Canis lupus familiaris: one gene and its partners. The protein of the gene in region 4 binds, or shares a complex with, the protein of the main gene of each other region. Links are inferred from orthologs where the notes say so. Each region holds a gene or a part of one and is shown on either strand. Other genes may lie near its edges. The genes, in order: BRIP1, PHF8, GINS1 and TOPBP1.

Region 1 (7,178 bases), on a different chromosome or scaffold from region 4:
ATCACCCCAGCCTTTGGCAAACACCACCCTGATCAGTTAGTAGCCATCAAAACTGAGGCATGACACTCCACCAGCAAAAAGATAATGACTTATTGAAAGCTCAGATGGCTAGTATTTTTTAGCAATAAAATATTTTTAAATTAAGGTATATACATTATTTTTAAAGACAGTGTTATTGTACACTTAAGAGATTGTAGTATAATGTAAATATAACTTTTATATGTACTGTGAAACCAAAAAATTCACTTGAATTGCTTTATTGTGATACTTGCTTTATCGTGGTGGTCTAGAACCAAACCCACAATATCTCTGAGGTACGTATGTACTCAATTATGCTGTTCCAGTACAAAACATACTATGACTAAACTCTGCTGTTGTGTACCATACGTAACTGAATAGACATGACTATGTTCCATTAGACGTGCTTTATGAAAACAGATGGCCAAATTTGGTCCATAAGCCATAGTTTGTCAATCCTTGACAGACTATTCTTGTGTGTGTGTGTGTGTGTATTCTTATATGTGTGTGTGTATATATATATGTATATTTTTTAAAGACCTATTTATTTATTTATTTATTTGAGAGAACGAGAGAGAGCCCACACAGTGGAGGAGGGGCAGGAGGAGAGGGAGAGAATCTCAAGCAGACTCCTTGCTGAGTGCAGAGCCCTATGTGGAGCTCAATCTCACAACTCTGAGATCATAACCTGAGCCCAAACCCCCAGAGTCTGATGCTTAATCAACTGAACCACCCAGATACTCCTCTATTTTTTACAATTATTTTTTTATCATTTAGTATAAATGACTCATATTTACCTAAACTAAGAAATTCATGTTTTTTACTTGAATACTGCTCTTGTATCTATAAATAGACCAATTTTTATTATAGCTTTTAGAAAAATATCTACCATTTGTACAGTATATTTTACTATGCTGTGATATTTATTCATGATATTCATGATATTCATATTATTAGATCTTTACAGCCCATCCTAAGAGATAGGTGTGTATAGATTCTTTTTTCTATTAAGACTCAAAAAAGTTACATGACTTGCTCAGGTCACACAGCTAGGTGGTGGCAAACCTTGTGAGTGGAGAACTACAAACTATGCTTAGATCTCTTGACAAAAGTTTGTTCCCATTCCAATACACCATATTATTTTATTATTTTATGGTAACACTTTCTATTTCAAACCGTGTTTTAAAAAATTAATCTATAGCACAATAAATATCATTTCACTGGATATAATGAAAGACTTCTCTATCAAATGTAAATAGGCAAAACTTTTCAAACCTTTTTCCTTTTTGGAGATGATGCCTCTTGGTAGAGGTGGACTTTCAGTTATTGTAAGACACTGTTGTTCTTGGACACGTATTTTTGCTTCACCTTTCCTAGGATTTTCTGGTATTAGAGGACTTGCTGCTTCTAAGTAAGTTAATGTATTGTCCTTCAAACAGGTCACTTCAAGTATAGACTCACTGTCTTGTGTAAACTTTCTGTCCTCTTTGGATACATTAATGACCTTTTGGTGCTTTCTGGAAAAATCAGACAAGGACTCCAGTGCACTTTCAAAGGTTGAATGGTGCTGAATCTGCTGCCGTATCCATTTGGAAAGTCCTAAGGAAAAAAGTAAACCCAAGGAAGAAACTGTAGTTATTTAGTTTCTTAAGCTATTATGTTTTGGGGCACCTGGGTGGCTCAGTGGTTGAGCATCTGCCTTTGGCTCACTCAAGTCATGATCCTGGGTCCTGCAATCAGGTCCAGCATTGGGGGGCTCTACACAGGAAGCCTACTTATCCCTCTGTCTATGTCTCTGCCTCTTTCTGTGTCTCTTATGAATAAATAAATAAAATCTTAAAAAATATGTATTAAGAAAACACTTAGATCATTTTTCTAATGAAGTAATCCACATGAATTTAGGGTATATAGAATGATTCTCAGTATTTTTCCTGCCTAAACATCTTCACATGTATACTCTGCTCATGTATCAGTAACATTTTTCTTTATGTGCAGTGATTATCAACTGGAGGGAGGGAAGAGGCAGAGGGGGAAATGTATTATTTGTCAGTTTAGGATAACTGGGGAAATAAGGCAAATTTAATTTCATCATAATTTTCCACAAATAATGCCTGCTCTTTAATTTTAAGGAAACTAAAAGTTGTAAACAACAATCAACAGTCTTCCATTCCAACTTTCTAACTTTGACTTCCTTCACAAAAATAAATTCAAGATTCCTTTTTTGTTGCTCTTCTCCCCCAATTCCAAATGTCTTAAACTATCCAGGGAATGAAAAGAATAACAATGTTATTAGGGACAAATCATGTCCTGTTTGTATATTTATTACATAATTCTTTTTTAATATATAAATAACCAAGTTATAAGGGATAGGATTTGACCTGTGACATGCGAGTAATGTATAAACTTGAACCACATAAAAGTATAAGTGTTTTGTTTAATTTCAGAACGAAATTCAAAATCAGACATTTGGATTTCTAAAAAATAAATATTCTCTGCTGGTTGGTATTACTAAAACTATCATCATCTTCTGAAGTAGTTTAAAAAGTCACTATGGTATTTTAAGTTAGAAGAAAAGTAAGACAGGGCTTCAAGTTTCAAGTTGTAATTCATTCATTTCAAATACATTCCCCTTTAGTATTTTTTTTTTTAATGGAGCTTTTCTATATTTAATGCAAATCAAATGGAGTTCTATAGTTAATACAAACTGAATTTTTTAAAAAAAAGATTTTATTTATTTATTCATGAGAGACACAGAAAGAGGGAGAGACACAGGCAGAGGGAGAAGCAGACTCCTCACAGGGAACCTGATATGGAACTCGATCCCGGAATCACGACCTGAGCCAAAGACAGACACTCAACTGCTCAGCCACCCAGGCGTCCCTACAAGCTGAATTTAAACAAAGACTAGAAATCAAAAGGAATTTGTATGTTGTGCTATTACTGTCTCGATAAGAAGACTTCAAATTTTTATGAATCTCAGAAAAAATAAATAAAAACCATACAAAAATAATGAAAAATTCTTCATTTAAAATCTGTCAGGGATGCTTAGCTGGCTCAGTAAGTGGAGTATGCAACTCTTGATCTTGGGATTTTAAGTTCGAGCCTCACATTGGCTATACAGACTAAAAAAATACAATTTTTAAAAAAATCAAATTTGATCAGATAAAAATTTAACTTCAAGATTTTAAAATAAGAAAAACTTTTTTTCATATTTTGCATTTTTTAGTTGAAGTATAGTTGGCAAGAATAATATTTTAATTTTTAATTTTTTAATGATTTTATTTTTAAGTAATCTCCACATCCAACATGGGGGGCTCAAATTTACAATCCCAAGATCAAGAGTCACATGTTCTATCTACTGAGCCAGTCAGGTAGCCCTAGAAGCACATTTTAAATAAACATTTCCCTTAAAGTTCTTTATTTTTGTTAACTTGGAAAATAATTATAACAATTAAACAAGAAACTTTCTAAAATGGACAATTTTTAGTTATAAACTTCTTTCATGTTTGGAACTTTCTGTAATCAAAGAAAGCCTTTTTGGTGCAAAATGTCCATTTGCTTTTGAAAACACAAAGACTCTGAGCTCCATCTGCTGACTAAACATAAGCACTTAACATTTTTCTTTTAGTTATATCTGGACCTAAGCACAATGGCTTGCTTTACATGGAAAGGGCAGAAAAGACTAATAAAGCACTTGCTATTTTAAACCAGGTGGATACATTTTAATACCAAACCAAATATTAGGCTCTGGGATAGAAAACAAAGTCCATACCTACAGGTAGCTAATCTGAAAGAAACTTAAAATTCTGCATCTCTATCATTGTACGGTATGAACTTTTTAAGCTTTAAAGATAATACAGATGCAAGTATTCCTAACAGTTCTTTAATAACAGATGGATTCCTGGTATTGACTCTAAAGGGACTCTGACTACTGGATAGAAACTATAGGCACATAGTACTTGTTCATCTAAGTGGGCAAAAAATGACCATCTATTTCATCTTGAGACCCACATGGTGCTTTTTTTCTTTTAGAAAATACTAGTTCTGACTAACATAAACTGTAGAACAGCTGAAGCATATCTAAATAAACAATCAAACTTCAGTATATTCCATAATGAAAGAATAAGGAATTCTAAGCAGACAAAGGCGATTGCTTACATGCTTACATGTAAAAACTTATTTCCTGGAAAATTCATTTTTGTGAACAGCCTTTTTTTCCCCTTACAATGCTAAATACTCTGTTACTTAATTAAATCCTACATTCTATGAAACTGAAGGATCCTGATTAATACTATGTTAGTATCTAACCAGATTCTTCTACTTTTTTTTTTTTTATAAACACAAGCATTATTAAGGCTAGATTTCCCAACAATGTGAATTTTTCCAAGTTTGATTTAGTAAAACAAATTCTGTCCAAAATTTTTCTTTAAAACTAGTAGTTATCAAATGCCAAAGATCATTATTATTTCTTACTTTTTTTTCCATTTTTTTATTATTTTATTTTATTTTATTTATGACAGTCACAGACAGAGAGAGTGAGAGAGAGAGGCAGAGACACAAGCAGAGGGAGAAGCAGGCCCCATGCACCGGGAGCCCGACGTGGGACTCGATCCCGGGTCCCCAGGATCCCGCCCTGGGCCAAAGACAGGCGCTAAACCACTGCGCCACCCAGGGCTCCCTATTATTTCTTACTTTAAGCCCATCTGAGAATCTTACCAGATATATATCTACTGGGATTACTCCTGAAGCGATCATCCACTAGAATAAGAGCTCCCCAATCATTTTTGTGTCGAATACACCTATAAAAAGAAATAGGGAGAAAAATCAAACAAAAATAAACTTGAAAATAAAAACCAACAGGGTGCTTTGGTGGTGCAGTTGATTAAGCCTCTGGCTCTTCATTTTGTAACAGTTTGTGATCTCAGAATGGTGAGATTGAGCCCTGCACTGGGCTCCATACTTAGCAGGGAGTCTGCTTGAGAGTATTTCTCCCTCTCCCTGCCTTCCTACTTGTGCTCTCTTTCTAAAATAAATAAAGCTTTAAAAAAAAAGAAAAGCCAAATTTCTCATGGGACAGATAAAAGAATGAGAAAGTCAGTGATATATCAGTGGAATATTCCTTTAATCAAAGCTTTGCTATTATGAGCAAGGTTATAGAAATGGTTCAATATAATATACCAAAGTAGGTATATTAAAAAAACAATTGCCAACTATTGATGACTTATATTAAAAATGTTATATGCATTCTATTTTGAAAACCAAAATATTATTGAAAATATTTTCCAAAATCTTAGCCACACAGACTTTTTTTTTTTTTTTTAACCTTTGGTATCATATTAGTTGTAGATTTTATGTAAATGAACTTTGTTCTAGTTTAATGAGTTTTCATCATTAATGAATGTTTAATTTTGTAAAAAAGAAACCTCGGAAGTATCAATTGATATGATCATGTAGTTTTTCTTCTTTAGACTGTTAGCATGGTGAAGCACATTGGCAAAATTTCAAATAGAGGGCCAGACTTTCATTCCTTAGATAGTAACCACATGTTGTTATGGTGCATTATTCTTTTTACAGATTGTCATATTGGGTTTGCTAAAAAAATTTTTAATCTTAAAAATTATTCAAGGGCGCCTGGGTGGCTCAGTTGCTTAAGTGTCTGATTCCTGATTTCAACTCAGGTCATGATCTGAGGGTTCTGAGATTGAGCCCCCTGTCGAGTGGTGCCTTGGTGGAGAGTTAATGAGTATTAGGGTTGTTTCCACATTTTGATTGTTATGAATAATGCTGCTTTGAACATTTGGTACAAATTTTCATATGAATCCAACTAGGAGTGGAATTGGTAGATTGTACAGAATTCAATATTTAACTTTTTGAGGAACTACCACACTTTTTTTCTGAAGCACTTGCACAATTTTACATTCCTGCCAGCTTTGTGTGAGGTTTCCAATTTCTCCATACCCTCATCAACACTTATTATCCACTTTTTCATTATATGTTCTGTAGGAAATGTGAAGTATCATTTCACTGTGGTTTTGATTTGCAATTCCCTAATAACTAGTGATGCTGAGCATCCTTTCATGTGTATACTGGCCACTTGTATATCCCTTGGAGAAATGCCTATTCAAGTTATTAGCCCATTTTTGAATTGCATTATTTATCTTCTTATTGTTGAATTATAAAAGTTCTTTATATATTCTGGATGCTACACCCTTATCAGAAACACTTTTTGCAACTATTTTCTCCCATCTGTGAATATTTTCCATTTTTAGTAGCGTTCTTTGAAGAACAAAAGTTTTGACTTTGACAAAGCCCAACTTATCTATTTTTTTTTAGTTATGCTGCTGATGTCAGATTTAAGAAACCACTGCCTAATCCAAGGACAAAAGATTTACACCTCATTAGTCTTTGACCCATTTTGAATTAACTTTTATATATGGTGTGAGGAAGGGGACTAACTTCTTTCTTTTGCATATGGATAGCCAGTCATTCCAGCACCATCTGTTAAAAAGATTTTCTTTCCCCATTGAATTGTCTTGACACATTAAGGGGGGGTGGTGCTTAACGAATGGGAATTTATTTCTCACATTTCTTGAGGCTGGGAAGTGCAAGAAAGTGGTGTGAACTTATTAGTTCCCTGGTGAGGTTCTCCTCATGGCTTGCAGATGTCAGCCATCTCACTGTGTGAGGGTGAGAGGAGGGAGAGGAAGGGACATGCAAGTTCTCTGGTATCTCTTCTTCTAAGGGCACTAATCCCATCATGAGGGCCCGTGTGAATGACATCGTCTAAACCTAACTACCTTTCAAAGGCCTCATCTCCAAATAGCATTACATTGGGGATTAGGGCTTCAACATATGAATTTGAGGGGTGGGGGCACAATTCAGTCCATGGCAGAAAGTAGGAAAATTATATAGTATATGAGAATATACTAAGTATTAAGGAAAAAATAGAGAACAGGGAATGTTGGGGGCGCTACATTTTTAAATACAGTAATATTGAGCACCTGAAAAAACATCATTTGAACAGATCCTTCACAGGTAAGGAAATAGGCTGTGTATATATGTGGAAAGGAAGTTTTGTAGCAAAGAGAAATGCAAATGCAAAGACCTTGGTACAAGAGCTTATCTGACATAGTCAAGGAACAGCAAGGAGCATACTGTGG
Region 2 (6,719 bases), on a different chromosome or scaffold from region 4:
CTGCCTTTGAAAGATCAAGTTGGGGGGGGGTGCTGTTAATGGGCAGAAGGGCTGGGGTCCTGGTCTTGGTTACAGCAGTCAGGGCCCAATCAGGCAGTTGCATATACAGGGACACAGGCTGCCCCCACTTCCCTCCCCTCACTACCCTCTGCTGCCTTGAAAACCCCAAGAAAGCAAAGCTGGGTGGAAACAGGAGAGGGATGTGGGGACCTCACGTGCTGGGGGGGAGGTAGCCAGGCTATTTGCCTTTGGTGTGACTAGATGGAGGGCTGCATGGCCCATGGGGTCCCCAAAATAAAAAAAAAGCAGATGGGTTTAAGGGACCCCTGATTCCAAATAAGGAGAGTAGATGTGGGGCTATAGAGAAAAGACAAACTGGAGACACAAAGATGACAAGGGAAACCACATACTCCTGTGGCCTGCATGGTAGCTGTTAAGTTCCCCAGAAGCACTGGGCAAACTGGGGTGAGGTCAGAGTGGGGAGTAGAGGGCAAGGATGCACTCCACTTGGGCAGTACCAAAATGGAGGGAGTGGGGTATTCTCCATCCAGACCAGGTTGCCAGGGAGGCAAGACAGGCAGTGGTGGAGGGAGGTGGCCGGGGAGGAGGAGGGAGAGGGGTTGGGCACTGTCTGAATGATAAAGACACCCACAAGGGGAAGATGGGGAGTGGAGGATCAGATGATCTGCTCCTTTACAGATGGGCATCTCTTCTTCCAGGCTCAGGTTCCTGAGTAACCCATCTGCACTCTGCTGGAGCTGTGACCTGATGTCTGGGAGTATAAAGGCCCAGACATGAAGATGTGTGTTTTGAGGTCTTCTTCAGACCAAGACCTTAGGTGGGGAAAGAAGCAGAGAGGCTCCTGATGGAGAACCCAGGGGTGAGCTGTCCTGTCACATCCTCTCCAGAAGGTCCAGGCTGTGCTCTGTGGTACAGGTAAAGAGAGCAGGCTGTACGCAGGGCCAGGGTTATCTGTTTCAGTGGTAGGAACTTTCAGACTTTTGGGAGATGGTTTTTCACCTCCTGGGGCCCAGATATAGCCACGTGGATAATGTTCTATTATCAGGACCTCAAAATCTAGGAAAATACCTGAAGCTCACCCGGGGACAGGGGACCTCATCTGTAGCCACCCAAAAGTAGCTTCCTCCAGTGGGCTACAAAGCCATGGTTAAAGGCTTAGGTGTTGGTCCTCTCTCCACCTTAAGAAGTGACAGAAATTTCTCTTCTTCTCAAAGATGAGTGAAGTCAGCCCATAACTTTTCTAGTCCACCTCTGAAAATGGCCCATGGTGGGGCAGTAGAGAGACTCTGGGCCCTCCTCTTTATTTTCATCAAGCATTTGGCAAAAGGGAGCAGGGCTAGACCCTTCTCCCAGGAACAAGTCTGGAATGGGACATGTCCGCTGGGTTGGGGAGGGGAAGGAAATATGGGCAGAGGTGGGCAGGCTTCTGGAAAACAGGGCTGGAGCTGTGGGAAGTGTTGAGCACTGGGCCTCCCACTTCATGACCTGGGAAATAGCAAGAGGCCAAGGCTCACTTTATGCCTCCCCTCAACCTGCCTTCCAGTTCTAAGTGGGGATGAGAGTAAAGGGCGGATGAGGCTGGTAACAAGAAAATGGGTTGGAGCAGCAGAAAAGAGGGTTCTAGTCAGCCAGAAAGCTCTCCCATTCACCTGCTACTCAGAGGTATGGAAAAGGAAGGCAGGATTCTCTAGTGGAAGTAGGGAAGGGAGTTAGGGGAATTGGTGAAGGGGCCCATAGGGGAGTCCATGCCTTTGGTCAGTTCCAAGAAAGCAGGACAATGCGCCTCAGCACCTTGTCCGGGGCAGACAGGATTCAGGAGTGCCCCAGAGAGTTGACTATGGAGAAGGCAATGGGGGTGAGGGGGTGAAGGGGTGAGGGGCAGGACACTAGGGGGCTCACAGAAGTAGTTTGCCATTTCTGTGGATTTTCAGGATACGGCCAAGTCTCTGCTTTGCTGTGGCCAGGCCCTTTTTAGGACGCTTTCCTGTGGGGAAAAGAGAGGTAAGTAAAGGCTATGGCATGGGCTTCAGCAGCAACTCCAGCACCAACTATCTTCAGTCTACCCAATTCCTCTGTTCCTCTGCCCACAGTCTCCCCATCCTTATGCTGCCTCCAGGCACACCTTGGGCAAGAAATCCTCCTTAACTATTTCCATCCAACACCACATGTCTTTGCTCTTCCTTCTATGACCTCCTGCAGCAGTTACCGAATCCCTGGTTAGTCTGTCTGGTTCCTTTCCCTCACTGATTTCTTTGGTCCCAATCATTTTCCTTCCTAAATTCTACAGGGCTGTGGTTATGCCTCCTTGTCCTCTTATCTTGATTACTGGGACTACACAAGTGCCTGGTTAGTGATTATAGCTCAATGTCCATGAAGGTGCCATCCTCAGGGCCTTGTTTCATTAGAAATTTTCATCGTCAAAAAAGAAAGAAAAGATAAAGAGAAAAAGAGAAAAGAAACCCCCATCCTCATCACCTGATGCCACACTGACCTCACCACCCTCGAGTGGCACACTCTAGGGACTGGGATTTGAAGGCCAAAGTGAAGAAAAGGAGGGCTTGGACACCCCTCCCATCGCCTCTTCCTCTCTCTCCCCACATCAGATCATCTCTCATGACCCATGTGACCTCCTCCATATTTTATCAATTTATCCCCTCCTTCCTCTCCATTTCTGCTATAGCCCCAGTCTCTCTTCACCTGAACCTATGCAGATGTCCCCTCTCTAGACTTCCCACCTGCAGTCCACCCTCTACTCTGGTCACCAGAAGGTTCTTTCTAAACCCACATCTGAAACACCTCTGTGTAACACAGTTAATGTCTCTTCATGGCCTAAGAGTTCAAATCCAAGCACCTTAGGTTAGCTGTCTGTGTCCCTCCCAAGTATTCTCATCTACCAGAGTGCTCAGGATTTGGAGCTGGTGACCCTAAGCTCCTTCTCAGTTTTGCAACCATGTGGCAGTCGTACCTTGTCCTGCTTGATTGCTCTGGGAGCCAACTGAAGGGCGCCGCTGGGTCAAGAAGACGCCAGGGGCCATGGGTGTGGTGCTGCGGTTTGCCTGGGCCATACCAAAGGCATTGGGACGAGCAGTATATTCATGGTCAGCAAGACTTCCTGAGAGGGCCTCTTGTTTAGGCTCAGGAGGAGGCGGCGGGGAGGTGGAGGTGAGAAGCTGGGGTGTAGTGGCCAGAGATGGAGCTGGTACTGCCACAATGAGGTTGGACTCCTGAGGGCGAGGCTGTTCTACCTCCTTCAACAAAGGCTTCTTCTTAATATATTTCTTCTTTTGGGCCTTCTGTAGCTCCTGAAATATAAGCCGAGTGGGAGGGGAAATTCAGGACTGGAGGAAAGAAAAGAATTGCCCAGAAAGGAAACTAGACACTGGTCAATGTGGTCCTGCAACCCACCCCCACCCCAAGTCTAGCCTGGACGTATGTACACACAACACAGGCCTAACACCTGAGATCAACTCTTTGGGACCATCTATCCTTAAGTTATCACTGCCACTAATCAGTACAGTGGTACTGAAAGGAAAATGAATTCAGAGACTTGAGTTTTGGTCCTAGCACTGTCATTTATGAGGTGGACCATGGATACTTCTAATAAGAATAGCTAAATTTATGCTAGCAGCTAAAGCCCTTTATACAGTTGACCCTTGAAAAATGTAGAGATTAGGGGTACTGACCGCCCCCCATGTGGGCAAAAATCCCACATATAACTTCTGACATCCCCAAAACTTAATTCCTAATAGCCTACTATCGATTGGAAGCCTTACTAATAACATAAACAGTAGATTAACATATATTTTGTTATGTTATCTGTCTTCTTACAATAAAGGCAGAGAAAATAAATTATTAAGAAAATCATAAGGAAGAGAAAATGCATTTACAGTACTACTGTAATAAAATCTATGTACAAGTGGACCTGTGTAGTTCAAACCCATGTTGTACAAGGGTCAACTGTATACTTTACTTCATTAATTCCTCAGAGTAGCCACGAGAAGGAAAATCCCTTAGTTTATAGATAAGAAAGCTGAGGTGCAGGGATATTAAGTAAGTTGAGCCCAAAGCCTCACAGGTGAAGAGTTGTTGGGTCCAGGATTTAGCCAGGCCTATCTGAATACCCACCCTGCACACTTCTCAAAGAGGGTCCTCTGGGAGTGAAAGAGCAGTAACTTTGGAATTAAAGAAAAACTTGGGTTCAAATCTAGGTTTGTGCTCCCTGGGTGGGATGACTTCAGTCAAGTTACTAACCTTTGTGAATCTCAATCGCCTCATCTGTAAAATGGGCAAAATAAATCTGTTTTTCAGGGTTGTCAGGAAGAATAAAATGATATAAAAACACATAGCACATAGTAGGTACTCAACAAGTAGTAAACTATTACTCTATCTTCATTACTTTTACAATGGTTTTCCTCCTCTTGCTGGTCTTTTCTTTTCTTTTTTTTTTTTTTTTTTTTTTTTTTGCTGGTCTTTTCTTTTAATGGAGGACTTGACAATCCTCCAGGTCAGTGGGTCTTAAAAGCACAATTCTGGATGGGAAGGAGGAATAAGGAGTTATGTCAATTCACCCAATATCTTGGATTTCATCCATCCATTGTTCTATGGATCTGCTATCCACTACGTAGCGGGTACCTATATAGTGGGCATCTGGAGCCCTGAGAACCTGGAAAGGTAGTCTGAGAGCATGTGAACGACTTCACCTTCTGAAATGCTACACAGCCACACAAACCAACTCAGTGATTACATTTCTTTGCCTTGGCAACACAGGCCTATTCCTGCCTTCGGAAGATCTGACAGGCTGTGGCTACCATAGGAATTTCTGGGGGACAAGAATAATAATATTAGTAATACATGCTAGGTACTGTTCTATAATTTAACTCATTTAATACTCAAGAAGTATGAGAAGAAAGAGTTAAAATCCCATTTTTAGGAGAGGAAATTGTGGCAGAGAGAGATTAAAGCATTTTCTCAAGGGTATAGGATCATGATGTGACCAAGTTGGGATCCAGACCTAAGCCATCTAGCTTTAGAATCTTTTTTCAACCTTACTGCTGTTCCACCTATACCAGAAACATTTCTGCCCCCATTTCTCTCATCTGAATCCAGAAATTAACCATTCACACCTAGGTGACATAGCCTACATTTTTCTTTAAAAAATTTTTTTTAGCCTACATTTTTCTATCTTTGTTGTCATCTCCTTGTATACTTCATCCAGATTCCCTCACTGAACATTAGGCTGTCTGAGGACAGGACAGCTTACACCTTGCACATTTCCTTGCTCAAAAACCTGTTAGTAGTCTGACATTCATGGTCCTCCATGGTCTTATCATTCATACTTTCCCAACTCACAATGATAACCCCGGAAAACTAACATGTCTATAGTATTTACTATGTGGCAAGTGCCATTTTCGGAGCTTTGCCACACATTATCTCATCTACTCCTCAAAGTTTATGAGGAAACTGAGGCACAGAGAAGTCAAGTAACATGCTGAAGTGGTAGAGTGAGGATTCAAACTCAGGCAGGCTGGCTCTACAATCCCTTTTTTAATCTGAATTTATCTTACCCCCTTGCCCAACCTGAAGCCTCTAATCCAGAGGGACCGGATCATTCATTCATGCATTCATTCGTTCACAGGCCCAATAAAGACTAAAACACATGTTTAGTCTAGTGGGGATATCAAGTTAAATTACATATATCCCCACCCTTGAGGCACTCACAGTTTAAAAAGGGATACAGAAAGGCATACTCTAAGTACTAGGAGAGAATACCAGAGAGGCACAGAAGGTTCCTGAAATAAATTGGTGGTAGGTGGTATGAAGGAGTGCATCTAAAAGGCATCTAAAAGGGAGGATCCCTAGTGGGCAGAGGAAACAATCTTGCAAAGGCACAGGGGCATGAGGCAATGGGATATACACTAAGTGAACGACAAACACCGTGGTACAACAGTATGGCTGGTGCAAAACATGTGCATGCAGGGCTGTGGGGAGGCTGGGGAGGAGAAGTGAGCAGAGGTCAAATTAAGAGGACCTTGTGTGCTTTGCCAAGGATTTCCCTTCTCCTGGAATGCCTCCCTGTTTCCTTCTAAAAGCTTAGCCTGCAAAACCCCTCCCAAATTTCAAATTGCTCAATTCTTTGAGCAAACCGAAGTGAGCTCCTTAGAAGGCACCCAAAGTAGTTTTCACACCTTCAATTATCTGTTTATTTAAAAGCCCCCCTCCCTTTTATTTCTAAATTACATCTTATATGGCACTAGGATGTACATAACAGAGAATTTGTGATCAAAGTGGCCTGCCTGGACTGCTTGCTCTCTGCTGGCTCTCAACAGCCTCTGAGACATTTCTAAGTACCTTTAGAGCTCTGTATAACAGCATTTATTAAAAACATCATCCTATTCTGTTTTATTTAAATAGGATATAATTATTAAGTTATATAAACATTTAACTATTTTATTGAAATAGCAAGTAACATGAAATCTGAAGTTAGAGGATATGAGTTTGAATCTTGTCTCCTCCATATCCTGGACTAGTCCCTTAAAGAGAGCCTCATTTTCTTTACCTGCAAAATGATGAAAATATCACCTATTGAATACGGCTACTGGGCAGATTATATGAGACACTGTACATGGAAGCACAAAACGTAAAGGAGATGCTCAATAAATGCTCTAAGCAACAGGATGACACATTAGGAGCCAAGGAGA
Region 3 (7,801 bases), about 29 Mb from region 4:
GGGTGCGATCCTGGAGACCCGGGACTGAATCCTACGTCGGGCTCCCGGTGCATGGAGCCTGCTTCTATCTCTTCCTGTGTCTCTGCCTCTCTCTCTCTCTGTGACTATCATAAGTAAATAAAAAAATTAAAAAAAAAAAAAACACTTTTGGTTTGCAACAATGGAAGGACCAAAGGAATTTCTCTACTACCTATCTTGGACAAATTTTTTAAAGATTTTCCTTTGGAAGGATACAAACATTAAAATTTTGGAGTTCAAAAACATTACACAGTAGGTAGTCAGCAATCCAAAGATAAGTGACCCAACTATTTTTAGGGCCAACATATATGTATTAACAAAAACATTTTAGCATTATTAATATAACTACAAAACAACTTAACCCTGTTCAAACATAAGAAAATACATAATTCCCAATAAAAAACCTAAGCATGACCTCTGTCTTCCCTTTCATTAAGTAGTTAAAAAGAGAGCATGGAGAAGTCTGATTTATTAGAATTCAGTTAAATAGGGGTGCCTGGGTCACTCAGTCGATTAAGCATCTGCCTCGAGCTCGGGTTATAATCCCAGGGTCCTGAGATCAAGCCCTGCATGGGGCTCCCTGTTTTGTGGGAAGCCTGTTCCTCCTTCTTCCTCTGCCTGCTGCTTCCCCTGTTTGTGCTCTCTGTCAAATAGATAAATAAAATCTTAAAAAAAAAAAAAAAAAGAGAGGGATCCCTGGGTGGCGCAGCGGTTTGGCGCCTGCCTTTGGCCCAGGGTGCGATCCTGGAGACCCGGGATCGAATCCCACGTCAGGCTCCCGGTGCATGGAGCCTGCTTCTCCCTCTGCCTGTGTCTCTGCCTCTCTCTCTCTCTCTATCATAAATTGAAAATAAAAGAAAAAAATATTAAAAAAAAAAAAAAGAGAGACAGACACACAGATGCCTGGTGGCTCAGTGGTTAAGTGTCTGCCTTCAGCTGAGGGCATAATCCTGGAGTCTCAGGATCCAGTCCTACACTGGGGTCCCCTCAAGGAGCCTGGTGCTACCTCTCTCTGCCTATGTCTCTGCCTCTCTCTGTGTGTCTCTCGTGAATAAATAAATAAAATCTTAAAAAAAAAAAAGAATTGTTAAATATTTCTTTTATCAGCAAATAATATTTTAAGGAATAGCTGAAACTCCTGCATGATTAATAGATCTACAGGTATACAAAAGATGTGTAAAATAGTTCTATAAAAATAGACAATTTTATAAAAATGATTTCATATTTAATTTTTTTTTTTAAATCTGTAGTGAAAAATTGCACTGTTTTGTATTCCCATGTCAGGCTGGGAGCCTACGGTAATTTTCCTAAAAACTCACTTAAACTATTACCAGTTCTGCATATAGAAAGTGGACAATCATTTCAATTTGCTGAACACAGCAACTAACCTTGAGAGATCCTGGAATGAACAAGGCAGAGTTCCTGCTCTAAATCCAGTGACTATCATCTTCCTGGGAGGAATGATTCTTGAAGAGTCATGTGGGTAATGGGCCTATCAGCCCTCAGATCAATCAGATGGATTGGCCTGTCCCTGCTTGGCTGTGTCAGAGCAGCCAGCCTCCCTAGGCTGAGTCTTCCAGGCTACTGAGTCAGTCACCTGGCTGGCAGGTGGGTCTGTCAGTAGAAGGTGCATGTGCAAAAGGTGCTCTGCCAAACTAAGACCTAGAAAAAGGAGTGATTTTATAACTTCTAAGTCCCGCCCCAGCTCTCCCAAAAGTGGTAAACCAACACTTAAAATTTGTGTGAAACAGAGAGCTGGATGGACTAAGGGTCTGAAGAGCCAGTTGCAGGGCTGGTGTGGCCAGTTTCTGCTGACAAGCCTGTGCCTCTTTGGGCTTATTTCCTCTTATGTTAGATGACCTTCAAAGTGCCCAGCTGTCTGACTGCAGTATGGAGTCATATTTTACAGCCTACACACCTTGGCATTCCAGAATCTCTGAACTTCCCACTATTGTCTCCTAGCTTTTTAAATGAGGTAACTGTTCTAAAAGAACAGTAATCTAGGAAACCTGTGTCGGAGGTGAGGCTCTGCTCCAATATGCTGTATGTTCAGACAGTCCCTTAATTGATCTTTAATTTCTCTTGGCTCAGTCTCATCTGCAAAATGACCTGTTTGACCAGGCGCTTTTTAACGTTCAAAACAAAACTCAGGGCAGCCCCAGTGGCTCAGCAGTTTAGCGCCGCCTTTAACCCAGGGCATGATCCTGGAAACCCGGGATCGAGTCCCACGTCGGGCTCCCTGCCTGCCTGCCTGCCTGTCTCTCTCTCTGTCTCTAATAAATAAAATCTTAAACAAAAAAAAAAACAAAAAAACCTCACCTTTCCCTAAACACTTCTCCTGAACTCTGATGTTGTAACTCAGAGAAAATCCCCCCAAGACCCTCTGATTTCTCCCTTTCATTCATTACCCACCCCATCTCCACTCCTGTTCTAGCAGGTGTAAGTCCTACTTGCCTTGTCTCAGAAACCCAGACACTGATTTGTGGGCCCAGTGACCAGACATAGTTTGGATCACACCCAGCTCTTACAGCAGGTCTGAGAGCGATCAGAACCACCCATAACCATCTCCCTGCCACCATTCTTCCTTGTTTCCAATCTGTTCCGCATCGTGCTGCCATCATTATCCTCAAAACATAAAACCTTCCCTAACACTCCCCTGTCTAAAATCCTTTACTGGCTTCCAAATGCCTTATACGTGAATACCCGGCGCTCCTCCGCCTAGAACACACCTTTGTAGCCTCTGCACACCTCAGTCACTCCTTCCTACGTGACCATGGGTCTCTGTGCGGCTGTATCCTTGGGATGCAATGCCTATCTTCCTTCTCAGGGTGGGGATCTCATCCTTCCAGGCGTGGGCCAAATGCCCCCTCCTCGACGCCAGGTTCATCCCAGTATTCCTCCTTGTGCTCCTATGTACACCTCTCTGGTGTCCTCACGGTGCATCCTAATACTCTTTGTGCCCCTGTCCCTGGCAGGGGAGCACATGCCCTGGCATCCACCCAGCCGCTGCCCTATGCTGTGGAAGGTAGACAAGTGTAGAATTTAGAGTCCAGATCCGGAGCCGGACTGCAAGGGTTCAAATCTTAGTTCCACTTCTTGCTGGCCACGGGCACGATACTCAATCTCCCCAAGCCTTTGTGTACAGGGCTGGAAGAAATGCTTTAAATCTCAAAGGGTTCTTAGGAGAATAACAATAACAGAGGCCAGGTGCTTAGTACCCTGTCGGGGTAAGTAACAGACACATATTATTAGTAACAAGTCGTAGCAGCAGCCGTGGTAGAAATAAGTACAAAACACGGACTTCGCCGCTACTGTCGGGCACAGGCCGGAGAACCTGGGCTGCGCCGCCCTTAGGAGCCCTCACGCTTCCCCATTTTTTGCACAAGACAAAGCCGGCACCGAAAGCTTGCGGAACTGCCCGAGGCCCCACGACGCAGTCAGGGTCCCCGCCTGGCGCAGAGGCCTCGCTCCCGCCCGAGCGCGCAACAAATCTGGATTGTCACCGGCACCGAGAAACGCTCGGTCAGACACAAAGCCCCGCAGTACTGCTCTGCGTGGAAAACACGGGGGGAAACAGACCCAGAGAATTCACCAACTCGCTGGCAAAAACAGGGGTGCTCTCTTTTTCCTGCTAAATCTTGCTTTCCCGTGTTCCAAAATGTCTGTTTCCGACTTCAGAGCAGGCCCCGCGAGAAAACCCGGCCTCCAAGATCTCAGGATCCAGTCCCACATCCGGGTCTGCAGGGACAGGGCAGAACCCCAGGGTCGCCTCCCCTCCCCGGCCCCGGCCCCGGCCCCGGCCCCGGCCCGGCCCCGGCCCCGGCCCCCGCCCCCGCCCCGGCCCCTCAGCAAGACTAGCCCGCTTCCCCGCGTCCTCCCTCACATTGAAGGCCGGCAGCTGCCCTTCTGGCGCGCGATGCAGCTCGCGGACCAGTTCCATGGCCTTCTCGCAGAACATAGCCTACGCGCTCCGGTCCCGAGGCCCACGTCGACCGCCGGCTCTCACGCCAACAGTCGCCGGGGTCACGCACGCCGCCCGGGGCTCCCACGGTTCCCGGTCCCACAGCGGCCGACACTCGCCTCCGCCCGGCTCTTTGGCGCCAAACACGCCCAACCAATAGAAACGCGCTCTGGGCCTCGCGGCCTACGGCGGCGGCCAAGGGACAGTTGCCGCCGCCGCGCAGCCGCACTCTAGGAGGGGCGGAGGCGGGGGGTGGGTGCCGCGTACTGCCCCAGGCCGGCTCCCCGGCTGCGATCCACCTGGTCTGAGCAGACTCGCAGCTCGCGATGGATGCTTATCTCGCAACTTCTTTTTTCCATTTATTCATTCATTTTTATTTATGACCAAGGGGGTTCACTCTGAGGTTGAGAAGGAACGCTCAGAAACTGGGTGTGCTTTAATCTTAGGACATAGCATTTCGTTTTAGTTTTGCAGGTGGGTTTTTGTTAACTAGAAAAGGGGAACCAACTCTTATTGGGTATCTCCTGTGTGGTAGGGGCTGTGACATTCATTTAATTCTCATGATTAATCGTCAGGTGGTGCTTCTAAGACTCTTGGTACTGATTAGAAAGCAAGATATGTAACTTCTTTTTCTTCGAGTAGGCTCTGAGCCGACCCTGGGGGCTCGCACCCGGGACTGACTCAGCCAGGGAGCCAACAACAGAACTTCCAAGGTCACGCCGCTTCTCAAGTTACTGACTTTTTTTTTTTTTAAAGAAGAGCTTTATTTATTTTTTTAAAGATGTTTTATTTATTTATTTATTTATTTATTTATTTATTTATTTATTTATTTATTTATTTATTTATAGTGACACAGAAAGAGAGAGAGAGGCAGAGACACAGGCAGAGGGAGAAGCAGGCTCCATGCAGGGAGCCCGACGCGGGACTCGATCCACGGTCTCCAGGATCACGCCCTGGGCCGCAGGGAGCGCTAAACCGCTGCACCGCCGGGGCTGCCCAGTCAGACTTTAGATTTAAGATTGCAACTCCCAGTACCACCTTTGATGTTAAAGGAGTAATTTTATTTATTTTTTTTTAAGATTCTTATTTATTCATGAGAGACACACAGAGAGAGAGAGAGGCAGAGGGAAAAGCAGGCTCCATGCAGGGAGCCTGACATGGGACTCGATCCTGGGTCTCCAGGATCAGGCCCTGGGCCGAAGGAGGCACTAAATCGCTGAGCCACCTGGGCTGCCCAAGGAGTAATTTTAAAACGCTTTTAAAATAACTCTAATCACAAAGTCTACAGAAGGGGAAAATACCCTAGATTAACACAAATTCACACAGCCATAATCTTACCTACATGATTACGGAAATTTTCATAACCGCATAGATTTGATTCTATCAAAGAAATGACTGCTATACAAACGATTTGTTTTACTTGGCTACCTTTTACAAAGCAATATTTTTAAAAAGGTAATATTACTGGATTCATTCCAGCTAACTCTAGAAACCTTCTCTTTTGCAAATATATATACAATAGATGTGTAATCTGGAGAATGAGCATGGGAATGGCCTACAAAGCCTTTGAATCTTTAAATTAAGTGAAATTTCCTTTTCAGCTCTACAGTAAGGCATAACTTACCTAAGTGTTATTAAATACACAGATCTGTAATGGACTGTGCTACAGGATTGCATGCCAAAAATCGCCAGTATCCACAACCTTCCTGTGTCATAAACCTTTTTAATTTCAGGTCCTTACCTATACAATGGGGCCAACGGTATGGACTTCTGAAGGGTTGTAATGACTCTTTACTCCTTCAGCAAATATTTATGAAGTGCCTACTATATACTGCGCATTGTTCTAGACACTGAATATAAAGTAGTGAACAAAGTTCTTGTTCTCAGAGTCTATGTTCCAGTGTGGGATACAGATATATTGATGATAAATTTATTAGTTTAGTGCTAAGAAAAATAAGCCAGGGCAGGTAAATAATTCTGTAGTCAGTGATGATGAGAGGATCTGAGGGTTTGGAGTTAGTGTTCAGAGAAGGCACAGACCTGTAGTGGGGAGGGAATAAACCATGTGCAGGTGGGGCCATAGGATAGGCAGAGAATTACACGTGCAGCAGGAATGCAAGTGCAAAGGTCCCAAGGAGGGGGATTGGGTGACTCACACAAATGCCAACCATACCTCTCCGGGGCCCCTGCATCAGCAAGGAGGCAGTGACACTGGAGCAAAGTAAGGGAGGGAGGGACTCCTGGGTGGCTCAGGCTCCCCTCAAGGAGCCTGCTTTTCCCTCTGCCTATGTCTCTGCTTCTATCTCTCACGAATAAATAAATAAAATCTTAAAAAAAAAAAATGTAAGGGAGGGAGACTCTAGTGGCTGAGATCAGAATGAGGGCTTGAGGCCATGCCAGGTAGGACCCTGTAGGCCCTATCATAAGCTTTCTGTTTTAAAGAAAACTTGAGTGAGTTGGGGAACTATATATAGGTATTTTTGAGCAAAACAAGTGACAGGACTGGACCTACATCTTTACATGGACCTTTCTGACGGCAAAGTAAGCAAAAGTTGGCAAAGGTGGAGGCAGGAGACCACTTATTAAAATTATTGTTAAAATAATTCGAGTGAGAGAGGATGGCAACTTGGCCCAGCATGTGGATGGAGGAGGTGGTGAGAAGTGGTTGCATCCTGGATAGATTTTGAAAGGAGTGCTGAATCAGGCATAAGAAGATTCAAGGATGATCCCAGAGTTTTGGCCTAAGGAAATGCAAATACAAGGCTACCATTCCTGAAGCAGGAAGGTTACACATGGAGTAGGGGTGGGGAAAGAGTTGGGAGCTCAGCTTTGAACATAACTTTAGGTGAAATGAGTGAATGAGTAAACCATTAGAGGAACCTGCAATTCAAGGAAGGAGTGTGGACTAGAGATACAATGTGGGTGTCATCAGTGTAGGGTTGTATTTAAAAACAGACCACATGGACAGTGAATGTGGAATATCAGAGAGCAAGAACTTCCTGTCCCCTTCTAGGTCCTCTTCTGTATTAAGAACCAAATTGCTATAGGACAGATTAATAGGAGAAAATCAAACTTAGTTTCCTGCCTACAGGAAATTCACATTGATATGGAAATTCCAAGGACAATTGGGCAAAATAAAGTTATATATTATCTTGAACTAAAGAGAATCCGGTAGGGGTCTGGGACTTTGAAGGGAAAGAATGCAAGTCACAGGCTGAAGTCTGGTAATTAAATGCTTGCCTTGCCATATAGATGGGTCACTCAGGTAAAATTTGTCTCTGGTAATAAACATTATTCTGGGAAAGACTCCAATTTAGATTCTCCTGTGTAGTTAAGGGAGGGACAAAAAGCTTCTTCCATAGGGAGGAAGTCCATAGGGTCTTGATGGCCTTCAGCTCAAAATAATCAAGCCAAAGTGTCTACCTTGGAGTGGCCTGGCCCTTCGCCCCTCCAGGACCAAGAGCTGAAGACTAGGCCTAATGCCAGCCAGGTTCAATATCCCTCACTTTGCTTTTTTTTTCTATTAAAGAGGATTTTGTGAGTAATAGGGTCAAATTTTTTTTTTTTAAACTCAGTTTCTGGATTCCTAATCTCCAATATGTGTTGGTATAACACTTTAAAGAATTCACCATTTAAATTCTAAAAGAGGGGATGCCTGGGGACATGGGGCTCCTTGAGGGAAGCCTGCTTCTCCCTCTGCCTGTGTCTCTGCCACAGTCCCTGGGCCCCCTCCTCTCCGTGAGTTTCTTGCTGATGAGAGTGCCCCTCCGTCGACCCTCTACCCTCTCTGTGTGTCTCTCATAAATAAATAAATAAAACCTT
Region 4 (6,915 bases):
TCTGCCTCTGCCTCTCTCTCTCTATGAATAATAAATAAATAAAGTAAAAAAAAAAAGTGTTTCAGTAGGGCCTTCTGGTTTTAAATTGGATGCCTACCCCTCCAGTTGAAGCTGATGAACAACTAGGCCTTTCTCACAAAATGTCTGGGTGCTTTTCAGTCAGCTGCATCTGTTCTGGGCCCTGAAGTGGATGAGTGTCCTTCAGTCCTCTTAGAGCTGTTTTTCAGATTGCTGGAGCCTTGGGGGTCCCATGGATGAAAGTTCCTTTGGCTTTCAAAGCTAGTTGTTCTGGGGGCTCATTTCAGGTGCAGGTCTTAAAAGCTGAGGTATCAGATATGGAGTTCAAACCCTTCACCCTTTAGGGAGAAGCTTGGTGTCATGAGTGTCCCTCCCAATTGTGGACTGCTGCATCGGAAGTGAGGTTTATGATAAGATATGGAAAAACGAGCCTTGCTTTGTTGACAGATCTAGATAAAGTTTTTTAGGACTATACAGTGGGCATCAACACACTATGGCCCATTGCCTACGTTTGTATGGCTTTGAGCTAGGAATGGTCCCTACAATTTTAAGAGGCTTTTAAAGTTGGGGAAAAATGACCCCCAGAGACACAGCCTACAAAACTTAAAATGTTTACTATCTGGACTTACACACAAAAGTTTGCCAATCTCTGATATAAAGCAAAGTGTATTAAAACACCTTTGGGTTAAAGATGTACCTGTGAAATAGGTTTAGATTACGACAGTGGTTCGTAGTTTTTGGATGTGAAGTCACAGATCTGAGTTCTAGAACTATGAGCTCTGCCCTAAAAATGCACAGACCAGATTGTGCCCATATCCATTCCAGCCATTATGGCCCCCAGCCATAGGATCCTGTTTAACCTAATTACCTCCTTGAAAGCCTTATCTCCCAAGTGGTCACTTTAGGGGTTAGGCTTCAATCTCTGAATGTGTATGTGTGTGAAACAATTCACACAATCCGGCCTCTTCAATCTCCACGAGGAAGCATGCTTTCTAGGTAGTTTGCTCCTGGATCCCATGTACTAGTTTTTTTTTTTTGTTTGTTTTTTAAGATTTTATTTATTCATGAGAGACACACACACAGAGGCAGAGACATGGGCAGAGGGAGAAGCAGGCTCCACGCAGGGAGCCTGATGCGGGACTCGATCCGGGGACTCCAGGATCATGCCCTGGGCCGAAGGCAGGCGCTAAACCGCTGAGCCACCCAGGCGTCCCCATGTACTTGTTATATGCTAAGGAATAGCTGTTGAATAAATGAATGCTGGCCATCAGGCTGATGCACTAGAAAATTCATGGAGGAATGGAAGATTCTAATTTAAGTGTCATATTAAAATACTATAGCAATTCTGAGGAGAAACTAAGAATAATCAAGGAAAGCTTTTTTGTTTTCCTTAAAATGAAGGAAATCTGTGCTTAGATTATTTGCATGCGGTGCCTACCCGCATGGCTCAGTTGGTTAAGTGTCTGCATTTATAGGTCAGGTCATGATCTCAGGGTTCTGGGATCAAGCCCCATATTGGGCTCCCTTGTTCAGGGAGGAGCCTGCTTCTCTCTCTGTGCTCCCCCCTCACTCATGCCCTTTCTCTAATAAAATCTTAAAGAAATTATTTGTATGTATGGTCTTGCTGGATTTAGGACATTTATAGTCTAAGAGGGAAAGCCAAAGTTGAAATAATTGATATAAAGATTTTGGAGAATCAGGAGGAACAGTTGAGATCTGGAGCCTTAAAGTTTTAAAGTATGTATTTATTTACTGAAAAAACAGTTCATAATTTTGGCAGAAAAGCGTACATTATATAATTTTATCTGGGCTAGAGAGAAACAGGATCTAACATTTACTTTAACGAAAAATTTAAGTGATGAAATTCAGGGAAACATACTGCAAGATGCCACTGGAAAGATTCTACTCACACAAAATTGCCCTGGTAGAACCAGGCCATGTGATTTTGTTTGGGGAGGGACATGTTTACATGACAATGCTATCTATCCATTTGGCTGTACAGGAATTTTTGTTTTGAGCTGGGAATTTAGATCAAGGCCAAAAACTTTGAAGGGCCATTTATGAGGGGCTGTGATAACCCTACTATATTTCCCTACAGAGGAAGACTTTGAAAAAAAGGAGTTTTGTGTTCAGGTTAAGACTTTCGACCGTCACCATTTGAGTTTGCCTTCAAAGAATCTAGGAAATGAAAAAAAAAAAAAAGAATCTATGAAATGGGGACCATTTATATCTGGTTCCTCCTTTCAGCAAAATGAGGTAGCTTTACATTTAGAAGACTGTGGTAACACATGTAGCAGGGTGTTTAGGTGTAGCTTAATAAAGGCTAATGCAGTTTTGTAGTTCCAATAAACTTTTTTTTTAAACACAGTAATACAATATTCTAAAGTAACAAACATCAGAAACATAACTAGTAATAAATTTTTTTTTAAAGTTACTTATTTTATTTTATTTTTAATTTATTTATGATAGTCACCCAGAGAGAGAGAGAGAGGCAGAGACACAGGCAGAGGGAGAAGCAGGCTCCATGCAGCAAGCCTGACATGGGATTCAACCCCGGGTCTCCAGGATCGCGCCCTGGGCCAAAGGCAGGCGCCAAACCGCTGCGCCACCAGGGATCCCTAAAGTTACTTATTTTAGAGAATGGGCGGAGGGGCAAGAAAAGGAAGAAGCTGAGCCTGGAGCCCCCACTCAGAGCTTGAACCAACGACCCTGAGAAAATCAAGAGTCTGATGCTTAACTACCTGTACCACCCAGGTACCCCAGCGATTTTTTTTTTTTTTTTTTTGCGATTTGCTTTTTAAGCTTAATTTTACAAATCATTTATTGCTTCAACAAGACAATGAATACTAGGATGCTCTGTTCAAAAACTTATCTGAACAACTAATTTCAGTCACTACTTTTATTCTTTATTGTCTTTATTTTCCAAGTTTTGGCTCCCAAACTTGGCAAACATCATGGAGATCTGTACAAACATGCATATACATATATACACTAACACATATTTAAGTTTAAAGCCTCAGTTTCTCATTAAACCTTGTACTCAGGCTCCTGTTAAAAAGAGGGAAAGTGGTGAGAAGAATCAGGGAAAACACGAATAAATCTCAATCTACAAGCTCCTTATTGTTACAAATTAAAGCAGGCATTTTAAGGCAAAATCCATTACCTTGCTAAAACTTCACTAAGCTATAGACTCAGATATTTACAAGAAAATAAATAAACAGCCCCTTACACACTACAGTGTGGTTTAATGACAAGCCAGCCAAGGAGTTGTGTTTTGTTGTTATTTCAGGTAAAAACAGTTAATGTTTCAGTGATTAAAATTTCAGATGTTAAAAACTAACTACAAGCAAGATCATCATTATACTCTGAAGCTGAATGTTTCAGACACTTGTCTTTAAATTACTATGCAAATCCATGACCGTAACATTCAGGCTTTATAATTAAAATACTAATGTTTGGTGACTAAAGAGCAAACATGATTAGTTTACTCTAGGTCGTTTGATTTTATTTTTCTCTGTAGGAGCTTTCCTCTTCTGTGATAATCCAGGCCCAGGTTCCTTATTATTCTGAAGAAACGAAACTGCTTCTGGTAGACAGTAATTTTCTACTGGAGGAGGTGATTCCTATAAAAGAAGAAAATACATTGTTCATTTTTTTCCTTGACTATGCTTTTTAGCCAGAAAGACTTAAAATTTGTATTTTAAGGTATGCTAGGAATAGACCATACATGACAAAATCTCACCTTTTATCAGAAAAATTTATAGCTCAGGTGGAATAGGGCACGCTCAGACCTTGATAATGGTGTCATTTGTAGAGTAAGGTTAAGAAGTGACACCTTATACTTAGTGTCAACTTTTTTTTTTTTTTAATTTTTATTTTATTTATGATAGTCACACACACAGAGAGAGAGAGAGGCAGAGACATAGGCAGAGGGAGAAGCAGGCTCCATGCACCGGGAGCCCGACACGGGATTCGATCCTGGGTCTCCAGGATCGCGCCCTGGGCCAAAGGCAAGCGCCAAACCACTGCGCCACCCAGAGATCCCAGTGTCAACTTTTATTTTCAAAGATTTTATTTAATCATGAGACAGAGAGAGGCAGAGACATAGGGAGAGGGAGAAGCAGAGCCAGATGTGAGACTTGATCCCTGGACCAGGATCACACCCTGAGCCAAAGGCAGATGCTCAACCACTGAGTTACCCAGGCACCCCCCTTATTGTCAATTTTAAAAAATATTTTTAATCTGTAAACATGTGAGATAGGTGTTTCATATTCCCCATTTTACAGATAAGATAAAAAAGGCTAAATAACATTATATAACTAGCAGGTGGCAAAGCCAAAATCATTACAACACTGCCTCCAAAATCCTTGCAACAACCATATTCCAATTAAAATGAGCTTTCCCTCCAAGTGGCAGACTGGATAACATGAAAATGAATCACCATAAAACACTGGGTAAGTGCCTTTTGATTCAACTCTTCCCTGGATGACAACTTCCAACCCAAATATATTAAAGGCAACTATCACAAGACACTGGAGAGGAAATAAGATTAGGCAATATCAGAAGGGTTGACACTTGGTAGGGGGTCCGGTCTGAGGAGAAGTGTCATGTGGGCTGGCTAAACTAAGCCTCAACAGAAAGCAGGTAGTATTAATGGCCTGAAACCACAGCCACTGAAAAATGAGGTGGGAAATCCCAGGAAGGAGCAGGAGAAGCCCCAAACTCGGTCATGAACTCTGCCTCAATCTTTGCCCTCTCACCATGGAAAGGCAGAGGAGGCTTAAGCTTAAAGACTTGAGCCCCCCACTCACAGCAGCCGGTGCCTGTTAAGCAAACAGAATGGCATCCCCCTGAGGAACATAATAGAATCTAATTTTTACAACTTAAAATGTCTAGGATGCATATAAAATTATACAACATCTGAAGAACATGACCCATTCTCAAGAAAAAAATCTGAATCCAAAACCACAAAAAAGATGCAAAACTTAAAACACATGTATTGAAAATTACAAAATGTTCATGAAAGAACTTAAAGATGCCCTAAATCAGTAAGTTCCGGGATCAAAAGACTGAACATAGTAAAGATGTCAGTTCACTCAAATTAATCTGTAGGCTTAATGTGATTCATATCAATCATAGCAAGAGGTTTCTGTAGGCATATAAATACGGTTATCCTAAAACTTACATAAAAGGTATAGGCTCCGGAATGGCTAAAATGGTCTTGAAAAAGAAAAATAAAGAGGAATCACTAATATCAGGGCTTAATACATAAATCATAAATAAGATGCTATTGTAGAAGAAAAGATACCTAGATCAATAGACCCCCACAATATACCCAACTGAATTATGACAAAGGGCCAAAGCAACTAGATGGAGGATAGTTCTTTTATAGACCTTCTGAAACAGATTTTTTTTTTTACCTAAACTTCACACCTTATATGAAACCTCACACCTCATACATTTATGAAGTATACCAAAGATGTTCACTCTGACTAGCCATTAAGGACCTGCAAATTAAAACCACAGCAAGGGATTACTACATACCAAATGAAAAGGCTAAAATAATGAAGTAAACATGCCAATGAGGATACAGAAAAAACCGGATTGCTCATCTCATTGGTAGGAACGTATAATGTGACTATTCTGGAAACACACTGAAGCATTTATCTCAGAACAGTCTATATCTCCGCAGTGATCCTTCATTTTGTCTTTTTGGATTTATCTCAGTGCAATGAAATCTTATTTTCACACAAAATATGTGTACAAATGTTCACAGTAGCTTTTTTCAATAATAGCCCCAAAGTAGAAACAACCCAGATGTCCTTCAATAGGTTAATGGTTAAGCTATAGTATATCTGAACTACTCAGCAATAAGTAGTAATAAAATTACTGATACAAGCAACACATGAATGATTCTCAAGAGAAAAAAAAAACAATCCAAAAAGATTACATACTATATTGATTCCACTTAAAATTTAAACAACAGATTAGTGGTTGCCAGGTGTGAGACCCCTGGAAGAAGAGAATGAAGGGAAGGATGGGTCTAGTTAAGAAAACTCAAGGGATCCCTGGGTGGCGCAGCAGTATGGCGCCTGCCTTTGGCCCAGGGCGTGATCCTGGAGACCCGGGATCAAATCCCACGTCGGGCTCCCGGTGCATGGAGCCTGCTTCTCCCTCTGCCTGTGTCTCTGCCTCTCTCTCTCTCTCTCTGTGACTATCATAAATAAAAAAAAAATAAAAAAAGAAAAAAGAAAACTCAAAATGAAGGGTTGCTGTAGTGATAGACTGTTCTATATCTTGACTGTGGTGGCAGACACATCAAGTAGAAATGGAGAAATTGGAGTAAGTGTGGATTGCATCACGTCAATATCTCGGCTGTAATACTGTGTAATACTGCTAGATTTTTGCAAGATGTTATCCACTGGGGGAAACTGTTATTTCTTACAACTATATGTAAATCTACAATTCCCTCAAAATAAAAACAGTATATCTTGCTCATGACCCAGATGTTGGAAGTAGTAGACACACTATAGCTGCTCTTATCCTTGAAATGAAAAAGCAGAAAAACAGAAACTATAAAAAAAGAACCAAAGAATTCTATGTATAAAAAAATTTAATATCTAAATAAAAAATCTCATGGAGTAGGGTTAAGAACAGAATGAAAATACAGAAAAAAAATCAGTGAAGTTGGAAGCAGATAAACAGGATTTAGTTAATCAGAAAAACAGAAAAACTGCAGAGTAAACATAGTCTGAAGGACCTGTGGGACAATATCCAAAGGTATGAGTGATTAAATTCCCATAACTAGATGAAAGAATGGAGAAGTAATGGCCAAAATTTCTTTAATGTGGTGAAAGAAGTTTACAGACTAAAGAAGCTCTGCAGGGATCCCTGGGT

What was found.
Region 1: the proteins of TOPBP1 (region 4) and BRIP1 are in contact, whole or in part, in a crystal structure (PDB 3AL3), measured with the Homo sapiens proteins. The link is inferred for Canis lupus familiaris from reciprocal best matches to the Homo sapiens genes TOPBP1 and BRIP1. Residues at the interface, in NP_008958.2 of Homo sapiens: Leu1272, Ser1273, Ser1274, Leu1275, Asn1276, Pro1277, Arg1280, Gln1298, His1311, Leu1313, Arg1314, Asn1315, Glu1316, Lys1317, Leu1319, Gln1366, Arg1407, Gly1410, Phe1411, Leu1414, Thr1466, Glu1467, Ile1469, Ala1470; in NP_114432.2 of Homo sapiens: Ser1129, Tyr1131, Phe1132, Thr1133, Pro1134, Glu1135, Leu1136, Tyr1137, Asp1138.
Region 2: the proteins of TOPBP1 (region 4) and PHF8 are in contact, whole or in part, in a crystal structure (PDB 7CMZ), measured with the Homo sapiens proteins. The link is inferred for Canis lupus familiaris from reciprocal best matches to the Homo sapiens genes TOPBP1 and PHF8. Residues at the interface, in NP_008958.2 of Homo sapiens: Gln1298, Cys1299, Arg1314, Asn1315, Glu1316, Leu1319, Arg1369, Ser1406, Arg1407, Gly1410, Phe1411, Arg1413, Leu1414, Arg1465, Thr1466, Glu1467, Ala1470, Asp1471, Gln1475, Asn1483, Tyr1484; in NP_001171825.1 of Homo sapiens: Gly842, Ala843, Cys844, Phe845, Asp847, Ala848, Tyr850, Ile851, Tyr852, Pro853, Ser854, Leu855, Glu856.
Region 3: the proteins of TOPBP1 (region 4) and GINS1 are in contact, whole or in part, in a cryo-EM structure (PDB 8OK2), measured with the Homo sapiens proteins. The link is inferred for Canis lupus familiaris from reciprocal best matches to the Homo sapiens genes TOPBP1 and GINS1. Residues at the interface, in NP_008958.2 of Homo sapiens: Leu490, Leu491, Ser492, Gln493, Tyr494, Glu495, Asn496, Leu586, Ser587, Arg588, Thr589, Val590, Val596, Cys601, Glu602, Val603, Ala605, Thr606, Val607, Gly608, Val610, Lys629, Pro636, Val637, Pro638, Val639, Met640, Thr641, Arg726; in NP_066545.3 of Homo sapiens: Asn43, Gln44, Val47, Asn48, Lys51, His66, Arg91, Tyr94, Gly95, Ser96, Asn100, Arg103, Phe104, Arg119, Ala122, Met125, Glu132, Gly133, Leu134, Asp135, Thr137, Gln138, Asp139.

The regions. Positions count from the first base shown.
Region 1 is NC_049230.1:34,937,552-34,944,729, reverse strand, and holds part of BRIP1 (Fanconi anemia group J protein), read right to left. Parts: intron 4,818-7,178; coding exon 4,735-4,817; intron 1,618-4,734; coding exon 1,294-1,617; intron 1-1,293. UniProt on the Homo sapiens protein: DNA-dependent ATPase and 5'-3' DNA helicase required for the maintenance of chromosomal stability. Acts late in the Fanconi anemia pathway, after FANCD2 ubiquitination.
Region 2 is NC_049260.1:45,972,979-45,979,697, forward strand, and holds part of PHF8 (histone lysine demethylase PHF8), read right to left. Parts: intron 4,297-6,719; coding exon 4,273-4,296; intron 3,324-4,272; coding exon 2,987-3,323; intron 2,006-2,986; coding exon 1,921-2,005; coding exon of another isoform or gene 1,917-1,920; exon of another isoform or gene 926-1,916; coding exon 835-925; 3' UTR 1-834. UniProt on the Homo sapiens protein: Histone lysine demethylase with selectivity for the di- and monomethyl states that plays a key role cell cycle progression, rDNA transcription and brain development.
Region 3 is NC_049244.1:1,737,280-1,745,080, reverse strand, and holds the start of GINS1 (DNA replication complex GINS protein PSF1), read right to left. Parts: upstream 4,129-7,801; 5' UTR 3,977-4,128; coding exon 3,902-3,976; intron 3,757-3,901; exon of another isoform or gene 3,598-3,756; intron 3,035-3,597; exon of another isoform or gene 2,748-3,034; intron 1,610-2,747; exon of another isoform or gene 1,407-1,609; intron 1-1,406. UniProt on the Homo sapiens protein: Required for correct functioning of the GINS complex, a complex that plays an essential role in the initiation of DNA replication, and progression of DNA replication forks.
Region 4 is NC_049244.1:31,033,581-31,040,495, forward strand, and holds the end of TOPBP1 (DNA topoisomerase 2-binding protein 1), read right to left. Parts: intron 3,642-6,915; coding exon 3,498-3,641; 3' UTR 2,785-3,497; downstream 1-2,784. UniProt on the Homo sapiens protein: Scaffold protein that acts as a key protein-protein adapter in DNA replication and DNA repair. Composed of multiple BRCT domains, which specifically recognize and bind phosphorylated proteins, bringing proteins together into functional combinations.